Caenorhabditis elegans: one gene and its partners. The protein of the gene in region 2 interacts with the protein of the main gene of each other region in a pairwise test. Each region holds a gene or a part of one and is shown on either strand. Other genes may lie near its edges.

The links.
Region 1: the proteins of nhr-21 (region 2) and lim-7 interact in a two-hybrid assay, tested with the Caenorhabditis elegans proteins (one large-scale study listed by BioGRID).
Region 3: the proteins of nhr-21 (region 2) and ceh-9 interact in a two-hybrid assay, tested with the Caenorhabditis elegans proteins (one large-scale study listed by BioGRID).

What each region holds. Positions count from the first base shown.
Region 1 is NC_003279.8:5,714,789-5,720,416, reverse strand, and holds the start of lim-7 (LIM/homeobox protein lim-7), read right to left. Parts: upstream 3,844-5,628; 5' UTR 3,742-3,843; coding exon 3,606-3,741; intron 1,893-3,605; coding exon 1,845-1,892; intron 1,799-1,844; coding exon 1,734-1,798; intron 1,045-1,733; exon of another isoform or gene 895-1,044; intron 506-894; coding exon 420-505; intron 1-419. UniProt on the Caenorhabditis elegans protein: Probable DNA-binding transcriptional activator.
Region 2 is NC_003280.10:7,336,760-7,342,825, reverse strand, and holds the start of nhr-21 (NR LBD domain-containing protein), read right to left. Parts: upstream 3,598-6,066; 5' UTR 3,564-3,597; coding exon 3,548-3,563; intron 1-3,547.
Region 3 is NC_003279.8:563,957-568,787, forward strand, and holds ceh-9 (Homeobox protein ceh-9), read right to left. Parts: upstream 2,633-4,831; 5' UTR 2,436-2,632; coding exon 2,285-2,435; intron 1,925-2,284; coding exon 1,737-1,924; intron 1,589-1,736; coding exon 1,484-1,588; 3' UTR 1,328-1,483; downstream 1-1,327. Other genes in the region: Y65B4BR.1 (Lipase_GDSL domain-containing protein), read left to right, coding at 653-1,154.

The DNA of each region.
Region 1 (5,628 bases), on a different chromosome or scaffold from region 2:
AACACTTGACACTCACTTCAAAATTTGGTTACATATTCTTGCACACTACCTAATCCCATGCGTAATTCACATCTATAGTCAAATACAGTAATCATAATCCCCATATAAAAATGTTGGATAGTTTTCACGCTTCATTCTCCCAAGTTATCCGGGGGTCTCTATTATGCAAATGCATCCATTAAAAGAGCGCAACATTTTCCAAACTTATTATTATTATTATTTATAATAGTAAGTGAGTCAACACCCCATTCCCTGTCTTCCCAAAGTCATTGTACTCGGGGAAGTAAGCGAAAGAGAGACAGGTGTATGCTCCGTTTTCCGGCGGAAGTAAGGTAATTGTCTATTTCACTTTGACTCTTCATGATCGTTTATGGAAGTAACTACACAAAAAGATGCACATCTGCCATCATTTGACCTACCTTCTGTAATCATCCCGGCAATACGTTTGTCCATTTTTCACGAATGCTGTCTGGTTTTCGTCGAGTGGGCGAGAGCATTGGACACACTGAAATTTTAAATTTTAATTAAACGGGTTTGTATTAAAATCCTGCCTGAAAATTTTATTCATAAAACATTATATTTTGTTATATTACAGTTGCAAAAATATTTTAAGGGTATTTTTAGTACGGTCTCGCATCCTTCGTTTTTCAACAAGATAATTATTTTTAGAGAAAACATTTTTGGAAAAATCGAAGAAATGTTCAAAATTAGGGGGAATCCGCTACAGTTTTTTTTAGTTTTCAAAGGATCACATCTTTTTGCGAAGCCTTCATTTGACAAGTTTTTGTTCGTGGTGAGAGTTGACAATGTCAAAATTCCACAACTGGGTTACTATGCGGTAAACAGGTAAATAGTTAACTGAATAGCGTGATCTATTCTACTACTGTTTAGGTATTCATCGCCTATTCCAACACGACAGATGGTTGCCACCTTGACTGGTCACGCAAGGGTCCCTCTGTCCCAGTGAGTTGTATACACCAATCTTCACACTCAAAAAATCAACAAAATGCGCGAATTTGCGCAGTAATTTGATCCGTCTCTTCCGTGCTTCTCCCCCTTTTTATGCTTCCTGGTCAACACGTTTTGATTTTTTTCTTTTCTTTTTTTCCGTCTTTGTCTCATTTCATTTCATCATCATTGCCCTTTCTCCTCCCCCTTCCCTTTTTTGTATAATATTCACTTTTTGTCCTTTGCTTAAAAGTCGTGGGGCAAGAGCAAAAAGTACAATGACCCGGAATAAAGGTATCAAATTGGTGAATAATTCAAAAGGAGCAGAAAAGAGAAAAGGGGAAAAGGTTGGAATTCTGAATAATATGCAAAATGGAAATCCTACATACATATAGAAACATACATCAAAATGTTGAATAAAAGAACAAACAATGTGTCAAGTCATGCGTGTAAATTCTCTCTTTACTGGACTTTTGTAGCTTTAAGGTATTAAGACAGTTGGAGGGGCTCATTGTGCAATACATTTTTGAATGAGATCATTTGGAATGAATTAGGTTTTCTTGTGAAAATCCACCCCCGTGTAATTTTCGAAATTGTTGTTTAGAAAAAAAACCATGAGACTACACTGCACTCAATTAGTATCTCGGTTGTTGTTTGTTCTATCGAAAAGGTTGTGTATTTTTATTATTTTTGATATATTCAAAACAAACTGAGATAAAATCCTTCAAAGTGAGACGAGATACTTATAAACCATTTTTCAGTTATAAAAATGTTCAAAAACTCACTTTTAGACATTGAGCGTGAAATTCCAGATTGGGATTGACCCTGAGGAAGTACCGATCTGATATTTCTGAAAATAAATAATTTTTTGGAATTTAGTCCCCGAAAGAGCTTACCCAATCGACAGCCGGCACAAACTGCCATCGGTGGTTGGTGCTGACGTTCTGAAAAATGAAAGCTCGATTAACTTTACTCTAACCCAAATTACCCGTCGACTTTGATTTGAAGATTACAGGGTTTGTGAGAGGAGGGGAGCTCAAGCTTTATTTAGGGAAAAGTAATAGAAAGAGGGGAGGGCCACGCGCACAAATGGATAATGATACCCAGTTAGGTGTCATGAAGGGGTTCATGGCTTCAAGAAAAAAGTGAAGAAAGGCAGGGAGAGCCTAACAAAACTCATAAAATAGCTCATTTGTGGGGTGTTTGGGGATGTTAGTAGCTGCCAAAACGTTTTTTATTTTATTTTTGCCCTCTTCTGTCAGCACTGTTTTGCCACGTCATTAATTTTATTGAGCTCCGTTTTTATTCGGAAGAATTTAAAGTCGACAGCTTCCTACTGTTTAAAAAATAACATATTAAAATGTTCTAATTTTAAAACTATAACAACTAAAGGTAGTCATTTCAAACTATTGATAATCCCCTTGTTCAACATTTGACATCTTATTTTAGGAAGTAAACTGGCCGTTGACAAACAAGAAGTAACAATCCCAAAAAAAGAAGGAAAGTTTACTTAATATAAGCAATTATAAACACCCCACCACTACAGTAATCATAATCGGAGCGGCGGCAAATAACTACTTATTTGGGAGGAGAGTGTTGCGATTTGAAATTAGAATTGAAAATTGACCTAGAGAAAAACTTTTTTTGAAGAAAATTAGGTTTTAAAAACTTTCGGAATACAAAACTGTGAAAAGTTAATTTTTATTAATATCATATATTTATTTGAAAACTTTCTAGGTTAAGTTTTCGAGGCCAAGAAAATCGAGAAAATCTGGTTGGGTTGTTGAAATCTTCAAACCGGATATGTACATGTGATGTGCATAAGGCGATTATAGCTTAGATCTTCATCGAAGGACCAGATGAAGTTATGCGTTTTTAAGACAACAAGAAGAAGGTGGAAAAGAAAAAAGTAAAAGAGGAGGGGGACAAATGGAATGAAAGAAATAGCGATTTTTGTTTTCTTTTAAACTTTCAGAACTTGATTGAACTAAGAGCTTTTTGATGGAGCCTCCCATTTGTTCCCCACCCCCATCATATCGTTTAATCAACAAAATATATTTTTGTGTGAGACCCCCCGATTCTTTTGTTTGCCAAACTGGTGAATAAGCAAGGTGTCATGGAAAAATGTGTAGCTCAAATGGGTTTTTTCTACCAAGAAATTTAGTAATGTTATATGACTTCAAAATTTTTTGGAAGTGAGCCCATTAAGTTCAGACACCTTTCGGAACTTTGCTCATTTATTCATTGGCTCATCCCTATAAGTAGTATGGGAAAAGAATCGGAAGAGCACCAGAGCTTCAGATAAAAAAGTTGCAAAATTCAGGGGAAAATAGACGGATATTTAAGGCTTAGAAGTGCGAATAATCTTTTTTTCCAGATTTTCTCCCTCTCCTTCTTTCGATTTTGTTATTGCAGGGATTTTGACATTTTAAGATTTATTTTTCAAGATTAAGTGGAGTTTGAGAGAAGGTGTTGTATTCTTAGATCTGTTAGATGTCTTTTCAAATGGAAATTTTATGAATCTAACTTAACTTTTGTTTTGAATTTTTTAAGCTGTGATTTTCAGAAAATTTACAAAAAAATTTTTTCCGGATGTAAATTCTTTGAAATATTTTGGCCCACGCTTAACATTTTCAAATTAAAAAAAAAACACTCACGTTCAACAGGAGAATCAAGGCACAAGTACTTGGTATCCGGTTCGTCTTTCCAAAATGATCCACCAATTTCGAGATCCGATGTTCCTGGAGATGTCAGTGAGAATTGCTCATAACCATTTCGCATACAGATGTTCATGCCGTTGAACAGATATAGAAGTTTGTGATTGATTACTAGATACACACAAACACAGATAGGACAGTTGGAAGTGTCACAAACGAAAAGAGAACCGAGAGCCCTGGGACCCACGGAGAGACAAGAAAGTGGGCGGAGTCATTGAGCGGGCGGACGACGAGCGACTGGTTGGTAGACTCCACCTACTAAGTGAGGAGAACGAAAGAAGTGAGAAGAAAACCAGCCGGATGTGAACACCCAAGTGATAGAATAAGAGTGTGAACATCCTGATTTTGTGGATATGGTAACCTATATTTCTTTTATTTGTAATTAATTGGATTAAAGCAGTTTTGTGTGAACTATTTGGATCATGAAAAAGTTTAAAAAATGACATTTCAAATGCCAAAAAAATTTTTGAGACAGTTAAATGTTACTGGCAAAATATATTCTATGAAATTACTCATCAAGATTGAAGTAATGAGCAAAAAATTATATTTAAACATTTAGAAAATTTCGAAATTTTTGAACAAAATTGTCTGCTCCTGAAAAAATTAAGAATTAAGGAAAGTAATGTGAGAAATTTGACCTCACTTTAGTTTCACAATTAAAGTTTCAAAATTAAATTACAAATCGCTTAGGACGTTTAAATTTCATAACCCTAGATTTTAGAGTTCAAAATCCATCCTATATTTTAGTCAAATTTTCTCGTACATTTTCAAATGTTTTTCTAGTTTCCTTTAGCTTCCATACTAATATCTCCGCGTACTACAGTTTAAGACAATAAACTCACAAAGTGTAGAACATCTTCAGAGTCTATAAATTATTCATGTAACTTTTCCAAAAAATGGCTGCAATACTGAAAAAATGTGGTATGTTTGCTTCGATCTTTAACACAATCATTTTTCTGATATTTAAATCAGAAACTGACTGGTTCTCTCAGAGGTTTAAAGTATTATGTTCATTGATGAATATTTTAAAAAATTGAGAAAAAAAATTGAAATCAGAAAACATGAGAATTCAACAAGATTATCCCTGGAAATATCTTCTTATCCGGATTCAACCTGACCCTCATTCTTCCTTTGGCTGGTGGACGCCATATTTTCCTTATTGAAAACTATCTAGAAACTAGAAATATGTTTTATTTTATTTTATTTTTGAGTCTCTCTTAGAGTTCATATCGATTGAAATATAGACTTGAAGTCCCAATTAGTCTTGCGTCCCTAATAGTATTGCACTTCTTCGTTAGTATTGCAAACTCTTCATTCTTTTAGTCAAAAAAATTGTACGAAAAGTGAATTTGCAGTTTCTATAGAGTTGCACTCTTAAATTAGCCGACACGTGGACATATGTATGTTTTAACTGATTCCCCCACTTCCTGTATACCTCAAAAGGTGTGAAATAACGAATGAAAAGATGAACATGCATGCGAGAGAAGGTGATAACGGACAAGTATTCGAGGATACTGTAGATTCCATCGATTGATAAGGATTTGAAAGATAAGATGATTAAATGGATGCTGGATTAATCCAGAATATTGGAAAATTTTTAGAACCGGGGAGAAATGTGAAAAATTTACAGCCATTTTTCAACTATTGTGGTGTAAGAGAAAACAAACTTTACAAGTTATATTTCATAGTTTATCGTATTCCATTTAAAAAAATATTTTTCCAAAACACGAAGAAATAGAAAGACCGAAATACAAAATTTTGTAATTTAAATTTTTTAATCTCGAAAATTTCTACATTTTGTACGAAAGTAAGTTTTGCAGTTTTTTGAACACTTCGAGAAAAGCTAGAAATCAATTTTCGCTAAAAAAAAAAGAGAAAACCGATAACTATGACTTACAAAAAAGATATATGCATATTGAAGAAAAAAACGTTATTCTCCAAAAGTCAATGATTTCCTGTTCAG
Region 2 (6,066 bases):
ACCTTCCAGGGCGTTCACCTGGCAAAAGACAGACAGGTGAGGAAAGTCTGGAGCATATAATAGCATGTATTTATAAAATTAGAATTAAATTGAAATGTAAGGAATTAAAACAAAAATGAATGAATAAATTGGCATAAACCAGAACAAATTTTAAACCTAATGAGCTGCTCAGTATAAAATTGGTAGTGGCAGATTCATCAGACTTCCAACAAAAAACATTGACGTCTGAATGAAAAGTGCACCGCAAAAAAATGTTCCACGTGACATCTGCAGGCAAAGGCACTCCCCCAGACACATCAGGACAGAAGATTTTAATCTTACGAAAATTGGAATTCTGAACTGACATGCTGTATTTTGGTTGAAAATTAGTGGTCTGATAAAAGTGATTAGAAGCATATTATAAAATCGAAAGGAATAAGGTAATTTATCGAAACTTTTGAAATACACACTATTGCGGAAATGACTATTTCTAAATTCAACGTTGGCCGAAGTCATTTGGGGAATCCCTTTTTTCTTTGAATGTCTAGACTCTTCATAAAATTCAATTCAACATGTGACATCATAAACAAGCAAAGATCTCTTCCATTTTTTACAAACGAATTGTTCTCAATATTTTTGTCATAAAAATGCGTATTTTGACTGCATACAGTTGATCTCTTCGACCTCTCTATCACAAAAATATAAAAAATCTGTGCGATCTTTAATCATCTCCATTTCTGATCTGTCGCGACGCCTTCTCCCACTACCATCTGTTTTGTTAATCACGATCTGACACGTGGTTACTTTAAGTGCATAGTTTGGAAAAAACAAATGTTTCAAGAAAATAGGAACCAATTTGTTGTAAATTCTCATCAGAATAGAATAAAATATAAAGCCATTAACCCTGACTTCTAGATTTCTTCCTCCGAAAATGTTCAAAAAATCACGTAGCAGGGACACATCGTATATTATCGTGTAGAGCGCCAATCCCCGAAAACCACAACATTCTGATCAAAATTAAAGATCAAAGCCTTTTTCTTCTTATTTATAGCAATGAGTTTTGGTTTCAACACGTTCAAATCCCCCTTTGAGCATTGAACAAATCAAAACGGAACTACATGATTTACGTCATTAAGCACGACTATTATTAAATTTTATAATAATAACATACATCAATCCAAGAACAAAAATTTCACGGCATGTAAAAAATGTCTTGCAAAAAGGCAAAGAAAGAAAGAGCAGTGAGAGTTTAGAGAAAAAGAGTCACAAAAATTTTGTGACCATTGAAGTTAACAAAAGATTTCAAACCAGAAGGTGTTCAAACGAATAATAATGATTGGAAAATTGTGTTTTTTTTTTGAAAAAAAAACTATTCACAGACGAGGAAAATTAAATAATAATGAGATTATTCAGAGAAAGAACTAAAGGACATGCTGGAAGATGATATCAAAAGTTCGTTTTCCACCAGTGCAAATGAAAAAGTATAAAATGACTTTCAAAAGTTTTAAAACTGCAGTGGTCCGTATCAAGTTTCATTTGACACTTACTAGTGAAGCTTAAGCTTTATTTCAAAATTTTTGAAGTTTGTGCTGTGGACTTTTTTTAAAACATGGAATTGAAATTTAGAAAATTTTGTGAATTTATAAATTATAACAATTACCTCTTTGACGGTGCATTCTGAGAGTAGTAGTTGTGCTCTTCAAAAATATAGCGATCTCTGATATAGTATGATCTATGGATTAGCCGAGAAGCAATCAGCACGAATAGAGAAATGTACAAAAAATGATTCGGCTGCTAATAGTGCAAGAACTGTTCACACTTTTAAAGAGGAGTCTCGCTCATTTTTTCCTACTGTCCATTCATATTGTGATCTGTTCCGAGCAGCATAAACTACAGTCAACTCTTCCATTTCTCATTGCGACGAACTTTGTTCCGATTGTTTGTTCCCATTAATTTTGCGCTCGCGCGGAGGAGTCTAGGAAAAAGAGAAATAAACAGAGGAAGAATAGGGGGAACAACGAACAATTTTTACTTTTTTGTTTTTAATTTAATCCTATCACTTGATAGGGAACCCTTCATTGCTGGTAAAAATAATTATAGTCGAGGAATACTTGCAAATCCTGCAATTTAATTATAGCTATCAAAATTTTTACTAATGTGAAACCTTTTGATCTTTTGATATCTCGCAAGTGATTATAGAAATATAAGGTTGAAATCAGTGCTTATAATCCGATTAAGATGATATTAATCATTTAAAATTTAGAAATATGTTTTGCTTACAAAAATCAAAATTGTCATAACAGGAAAAAAAAAATACATGAATCAAAAACTGTAAATTTATTTAAAGGCGAAACTGCATAAATATGGATTTCAAAAGATATTGTTTTAAAATATTCAAAATATAGTTTTTTCTTACATTTTGGCAGTTTGAATTTGGCAGATTATTATAACGTAGAAAGACAAGATATCAGAAAAAAATTCTTCGAAATTCTAGTTAATTTCTTTATTCTTTCATGTTTTCCATCTTCGTCATAAACTCCTCTAGGCTTTTGATTAGAATTTTTATTTCCTCCCTGGTCTCATATGTGTTTTTCTTCTAGTTCGTTGAGGCAGACAGGAATGCGTGTTATTTCAATGATCTTGTCATATAAGACCAGAAAAACAAGAGTACAGAAAACAGAAATAAGGATAGTAATTCGATGCAGAATATGTTAATTAGCAAAACTAAATTACCAATGAACAAAATGAACGCAAAACTATTATCACAAAAAAGAGAAAAAGGATGAAATAAAAGAATGATATGAAAACAGAGGACATGAAATGAAATGAAGTAATTCATGACATCATGAAAATTAGATAGGTTTGAAAGTCGAGATGACCCGTGGAGTTTCTATGGGCATAACTGCCCAAGTGGCAGACCCATTTCCACACAATTGTACTTTAAAGAATAGAAAAGAGAGGACGTGAGAGTATGGAGCAATGGGAGGTGAGCAACGAAACAACCGGCTGTGCGGAACAAAAAGTGAAAATGGGAGGGAAGGTGTGAAGAGCCACTGAATGAAAGATGTGTTCGGTTGGTAGGATCATTGAACAGATTATCAAGGAAAAAAGAAGGAAGTAGTTACTTGTATGCTTATGGCTGGTGCCAATTTTTACCGGCTTATCTGCGATAAAAGAAACAAAAGAAAAATTGTTGGTTTAATTTGAACTTTATTAAAGGCTACATTGGTAAAAACTTAATTAGGAAAAATACGAATAAAATATAAATTTAGTAAGCACCAGGATATGTACGCAACATTAAAGTTTGGTATTCAATCCTTGAGAAGAACAAAACATTTTAAGTTGGAATGTTTATTATTCACAGCCACAACTCATGTTTTCTATCAATTGAATACAATTGAATTTCTATAAGTCAATGTTAGCTAAAGTATGTTTAAAAGATTATAAAGTTATGGATATAGTCTGGTCAAGATGTTATATGATAGAGAAATCAACAAGAAGAGGAAAACATAAGAAGATAGGAAAAGGAAGCAATGAACAATTCGCAGGAGAAAAGGGAATCACTTACTTGATCTAGGGCCCATGATTTGTGACGATTTGATTCTGTGAAGAGGACACCTGTAAGACGAAACAGTTGGATATCACGGGAGGAGTAATTAATGAGAGAAAAGGCAATAAAAACATTATCAACAAACATACAAACTACACGTGTTTGAATTATTGAAGTATGATGGAAGAAAGAGGAAAATGAAAGCGAAAATGAATATTTTGGTTCTCAATTAACGAACACTACAACCTACAAAATTGATACACACGGAAACAACTAGATTGTATGATATCAAATATCCGGTTTGATTTCAAAGTTCAAATGTTTAAAAGGTAACCTTTTGGGTAGATAAACTCAAGCTTTAAATTTGCCATATGAGGTTGGTTCTGAAGACTATAACATCTTTGAGACAGAAACATACTTTACTTTCATTGTGGTTCTAGCCTCTAACAATAAGTACCTACATTTTTACAGTTTCCTTAAAATAATAATTTGGCTGCAAAAAATATTACTTGAGAGAAGAACAAAAATGAGATAACCGATAAATCCGTAGTCAATTCTGAACTACGCATATCAAAAACGTTTTGAAATCGGTATAAAATATCTAATCACCATTTTTTAGTTAAAATTGCGTACTAGAAAAGTCTGAAATATTTAATTTTAACATCAGTATCACTTTTTCTAACTACACACTACACAAATGCCGAAATTATTTGTGGTCATGGGGGAAGCAAAATATGCACAAATTTGAAATGTCGCATTAACTTTTTGAACTAACCGATAAGAAAACTACCTCAACTGATCAACAAAAACAAAGATATAAATACAGGCTTTTCATAATAATAGTTCTACGCAAGTACCAAATACAAAACCTGGTTGCATCTATGTAAAAAACAAAAAAAAATCATAATTTTAGGTGGCAAATCCATGAATGATATAACCTTTTGTTATTAAAAGAAATACAACATACTGAGTAGTTTCAAAAATTATTAAAAAGTCAAATTAAGGGAGAACTCATGAAAAATTAATTTTTAAGCTGTAAAAACGAAAGCCCATTAGGGATGACAATACAGAGACGAGAGCCCAAATTCTAAACCAACTGCAAAAGGCGACTTATTACTTTAACTCGGGTTAAATTTAGTTATGTAAATCTTATTATATTGAAAACTATTATGTTTCGTGACCCATGACCAACAACATTTTTCCATAATTTCTTTCTTCTCGCTAAACTGGGTATATCTCCGAGATTAATCTAAAAGAAAGTGCATATTTTAGGTCAACTCATCAGAAAGTCATCAGAAAGTCAAATCAGAACTACATATGTTCGTAGTGAACTTTTCTGCTTAATCTGAAACTTGACAACCATACCAAATAGGTGTTAAAGTAAAAGTAGGAAGCATGAAGATAAGTACGGCAGTATTCACACGGTACACACACCTGTCCTACAAGGTATACGGGAACCGAATCGTGCAAACACGTACATGGAGATGAAGATGAGAGACAGAGAAACCCGTAATGAATAGTGTACTGGAATGTAAAAGACGCAGACATTAAAGGGACGACTATTGAAACACGCGCTCGAAATGTTCTTTGCTCGCTGGTGGCGGACGGCGGGTGTGGAAAAAACGCGACTGGAGACACAAATTGGAACATTATTTTATCATTTTTCTTACGCACTCTGAATGAAGACCGCCTTTTTTGGGGACAGTCAGATGACTTTTTTGACACGTCATGAAGATTATCAGGGGCCAATTGGCTTAGGACGGAACAACAGCTAATTATTACATCAGTTCAAGGACTCTAAGCTAACATGTCAATGTCACGTGGTTGTTATCTTTTGCACCGGGATTTTTTTTTGATTTCTCGTCCGATGGTTTGGTTTGATGAACTCGTCGTTTTAATTGTTGACCTTTAAAATATAAGGACAATGTGATCTTTGGAAAAAAGGGAATACTCTCACACTTCTCGAGACTCGCTGCGTCTGGAAGCCCTCAAGTCAATTTTCAACTTCCTCTTATTTAGAAAAAGAAGTCGTCTCCAAAAATTACTCAACTCCAGCTCAAGTTGAAGTAGAATATCGAGAAAAAAATGAAACGTGAGAAGAAGAAAAAAGGAAAAAGGAAAAAACAATTTTCATGGCTCTCGCTCTTTCCCCATAAATGTGTGGAAATCAATTATGCATGTAGTAGCAATAGATGATTGAACTATCCTGTCTTGTTAGTTGGAACAAGAAAAACAACGTTTTAGACCAAAAAATCAACCCGTGCATGATCTTTGAATAAGTATTGCAAAGATAAAAGAAGGTGTCATATAACGTTAAAATACTTAGATTTGGTTTTGGAGGAAAATCTGGAAAATCTGAAAACATGCTCTACTTTTCTGAGCTTTTTTTGACTAATTGTAAGTAGAATGTAAAAAGACAATAATTCCACAAGATCACCTTCAATGTAAACTACTTTGAAATTAAGAACTCAAGATGGACTAATATTGAGGATTATCACATTTTCGTTAGTGATAAACCAAATTCGGTAATTCTCGAC
Region 3 (4,831 bases), on a different chromosome or scaffold from region 2:
AAACATTTGTGGCAAATTACAAATTATGTCCAAATTTTTGAAATTTGCCTTGCTCGGAAACCGGCAAATTCGGGAAATTTGGCACACCCTTGATCCCATAGCAGTGGCGCAAAAAAATCTTTAAAATTGTGGCCGTTTCCGTGCCAATTATAAATTAAAGTTAAACATATTATCGAAAAAATACGATCGCAAATTTTTCTCGTAACTTATTTTTGATCTACCTTGTTGACTAGGCTCCTCCCCTTCCTTCGACAAGACAGCCACAACAAAATAACAACGGCAACAAGATTATGGGCAAACACGTGGTGCCAGGCTGTCCCATTACAGTTTGATCTACAATAAATGCGGGAATTTTTCGCCCAAAAAAAAAGTGACGTCGGCACGTTCTTAACCATACAAAATCAGTTGAGAACTCTGCGTCTCTTCTCCCGCATTTTTTGTAGATCAACGTAATTCAAGCCAAAATGAGACACTCTGACACCACGTGGGCAGAGTCAACTTCCAAAGGTAGATCAAAAATTAATTATGAAAAAAATTTGCGATCGTATTTTTCGATAATAAGAGCCAACATTTTTCGGCTTTTTATGGAAATTTTTTTTTCAAAAAGAGGAGTATGGTCCATAACTATGCCATCAATACCAAGTCCTTCCAGAACCATCGTATCCATGACCGGAATGTTCGACATGGCCATGCTTCGCCAAATCGACCACGACAAGTATTTCTGCGACGGCCTCCATGTGTTCGAGTGCCCATGCGAGAAGAACAAGGACTTCCCGAATACCGACATCTCGGCTGCCTGCCATCTTTACATGGATGCTCAGCAGGAGATTCAAGACTCGGGAATCTTCGACTCAACAGATGACTTTACATTTGTCGTTCAACCATTCTTCAATGGAATCACAGTTCCACCACTCAAGCCCGACGGAGAAGTCAATCTGGATTGGTTTGCACCGGATTGCTTCCATTTCTCAAAACTAGGCCACGCCAATGTTGCCAAGCACTTGTGGAACAATATCGTTCAACCAGTCGGATCCAAGAACCATCAAGTCAATCTGTCAGATCCTACCATTCCACTAAACTGCCCAGACACCAAGTGCCCATTCTTCAGAACAACTAAGAACAGTGTTGACTGCTCGAAATATATGACTGCCTAGACTGTAGGAAATTGTGTTTGTGTGTGTAATTTGACGTACTTATCGGGTCTGCAATAAAATGTTTTATCGTGTAATCTTTAATTTTTAACGTGTGAGACATAAAAGAAAGAGCACCCTCAATAAAAATATCCACGTGGAGTACACAATATAGCTATCAATAGAGCGAGTAAATATTTTTGCAATAATTATTTATTAGAAGAATGGAGATCAAGGTAAAGGAAGAGATCTTGATTTTGAAAAAAAGATACTGGAAATACTAATTGTTCACGGGATTTCATAGAAGGGGATATATCACGACTTTTTCTTTGAAAAATAAAAACAACATAAAATTATTGCGGCTTCACAATCTGATCATCCGGTATTTCTCCAGATCTTTCCTTTTCCGATTCGATCTTCTTCCACTTGGTACGCCGGTTTTGGAACCAGATTTTCACCTGGAATTTGAGAAATTTCAGCTATGCGTTGAGTGCCGCGTTACGTGCTGCGTTGCGTGCTGCGTTGCGTGCCGCGTTGCGTGCCGCGTTGCGTGCTGCGTTGCGGGCTGCGTTGCGTGCCGCGTTGCGTGCCGCGCTGCGTGCCTACCTGCGTCTCCGTGACATCCAATCGTTTTGCAAGCTCACTTCTGTCACTACTTGACAAATACTTTTTCGCCTCAAACTGCTTCTCCAGTTCGAATACTTGTTTCCCGGAAAATGTCGTCCGCGCCTTCTTTCTCTTTGTTTTTTGACATTTTTCTATAGGAGACTCTTTGGCTTGGTCGAGGCTGGATTCTGAAAAAATATTCTTAACGGCTGATTATTTTTCTACGTGTAGCATTTTTCCGAAATTCATTGAACAAAATTAGTAAATTTCCAAAAAATTTTTTTTCCAAAATTTCGAAAACATTTTAATTTTTTTCAGATTTTCTAATATTTTAAAACAAAAATTGAGAGTAAAGGAAATAAAAATTGTGTCTTGTAATTTTTGTAATTTTTACTCAAAAAAAGGCCAGTGAAATACTATTACAGAAAATACGAATCGATGCACCATGTCAAAAAGAATAGTATTTCACCTCAAATGCACCATGCCCAAAACTAGTCTATTTTTCAACTACAAAACTTCATACACCTAATCCAAAGAAATCAACTTACTGCATCTTCCAAATTCATCAATTTCTCCATTAACAGTTGGTAAGTCAAGTATATCCTTTATCAGGTGACTAGTTCTTCTCTGAGGCTTCACATCAGACGTCAACAGTGCAAAATAGGGTTGAAGTAGTTGGAAGAGCAAGTCAGTTTCCATTTTGCACGAATGAAAAGAACTTCTGAGAGACTTCTCTATACAGTAGGTCTCGAGGTCCCCGCCTTCTCTTCAATCAAATAATTGAAATTCTGGACTCTCGGGGGACTTTTGACGGTTGACGACGACGACAATTTGCCAAAGTGGTCGACAATGATTGCGCAATTGGTGTGGAAAGAAGAAGAAGATGGGTGAGTTCTGAGATGATGACAAAAAGAGCATGAGCCAGCAAATTGAATAAGAGACCGGATTTCGAGAAGGAGGAGGGGGAGAGGAGGATTGGTGGTAAGGGATGATACTTGATGCAATTGAGGGAATGAGTTTCTCATACTTGACTATTAAATACTTTTCTTGAACTTAAATATTTGAATTGAAATTTTGGAGTAGCGGAGGCACATGTGATATTATTGTGCTAATTTGTAATACTTGGACTTTCAAATATAACCTCAATTATTTGAAAAAAACCTTTTGAATAGACCAGCAAGGTTGATCTACAATTTTTCATGGAAATCGAATTAATTTTGTAAGGATGTCTACTGAGTATAAGCTTATTGTTAGGCTTAGGCTTAGGTCTAGACTTAAGGCTACACTTAAATTTAGGCCTAGGCTTAGGCTTAGGCTTAGGCTTAGGCTGAGGCTTAGGCTGAGGCTTAGGCTTATGCTCAGACTTAGGCTTAGGCTTACGCTTAGGCTTAGGCTTAGGCTTAGGTGTTGGCTTCAGAATAAGCTCAGGCGGGGGTGAGGGAAGGGTAGAAAAAAAAGAAAGAGAAATTTCCAGAAATTCACAAAATCCAGAAAAAAACATATCTTTCACAAGTTTATATTTTTATAGCCTAAAAAATTACTTTTAAAATGAGGATATGCAACCCGCACGCAAAAAAACCTTTTTTTTTTTGAGCAATTTCACGGCTCTTTTTTTTTTAATTTAAAAATACAATAAAAAAACCAAAAAAATTTTCCGAGCCCAAATTGCTCCCAAATGCTCTAAATTTCTTTTGAAGTTTGATATATTCCTATTAGAACTTGAGGAAAATGTAAAACTAGAGAAACATAATACTACGCATGTTAAATGTAAATTACTTACTTTTAAAAAGTCGTACGTTATTTTGGAAAGTTTGAGGTTTTTGCATTTTTTCCGTAATATCACTGAACACTTTTATTTAAATATCATCAATTATCGGAAGTTTATAGGTTGCAGGAGAAAAAATATATTCTAGCGGGAAAATGAAATGAGACGGGGGGACATTTTTAACCAAAAAAAAATCAGAAAACAGTTGGTAATAAAATTATTCCAAGAAAGTATAAATTCATGACTTCCATCTTGGGAACATTCTTAAAAAATGTCAACGAATAAATCTTTGTGGCAAACAAACTTTTTCCATAAATGTTTCAGACCTTATATAGCGGACATGAAAGTTGATTGCTTATTTGATATGTCTTGAGTTTATTTTTTTTTATTTCAAGCGAGGGGAGATTTATTTGCCTAGATATATATATAATTATTACTGGAACGAACTGGAAAAAAACTTGGGATCAAAAAAATCAAAAATTCAAATTCAAAAATTCAATTTTTCGAAACTTTTTCTACAGCTTTGTCGAGAAGCAACAGACAAATACTTATAGCTAAAATTTTATTAATATTCTAGTTTTAGTCATGGTGAATCGAGAATTTGTCAATTTCCATGTGGTATCTTAAAAATAAACCGATACACGTGGTGTCAGGCTGTCTCATTGCGGTTTGATCTACGAAAAATGCGGGAATATTTTTCCAGAAAAATTGTGACGTCAGCACGCAAAAATTAATAAGGGTCTAACCAAAAAAACTTGAATCTTGGAAATATTTTTAATTCACCCTAAATTTTCCCCTGATTCCGAATATCTATGTGAAAAAATTCAAAAAAAATTTCCTGAATTTATATTTAAGCTTGAAATCTTTCATAAAAATTTTTTTTTTTTAAATTTCATTTGTACTCGCATCACTTTTTTCAAACTCGCGCCCAAATAAATTAGCGCGCGCGTGCATCGTTTGACTTTTTTTCGTTTAGTTTTTTTTATTTTAGCCGAATTCAATTTTTTTAAAACCAGTTTCATTCATTTTTGTCGGTTTTTTTTTTCTGAAAAAAATGTAAAAAAACGAAAAAAAATCAAACAATGCAAGCGCGCTCCAATGCTAATTTATTTGAGCGCGTATTTAAAAAAGAGACCGGGATACAAATGAAATTCGGCGATTTCAAGCTTAAATATAAAATCTGGCAAACTTGTTTTGAATTTTGAATTTTTTCACATAGATACTCGGAATCAGGGGAAAATTAGGATTCATTCAAAAATATTTCCCAGATTTCGGTACCCCACCTTAAAAATTTTTTTTTGGGAAAACAAGGAAAATTTCTAGCTTGAAC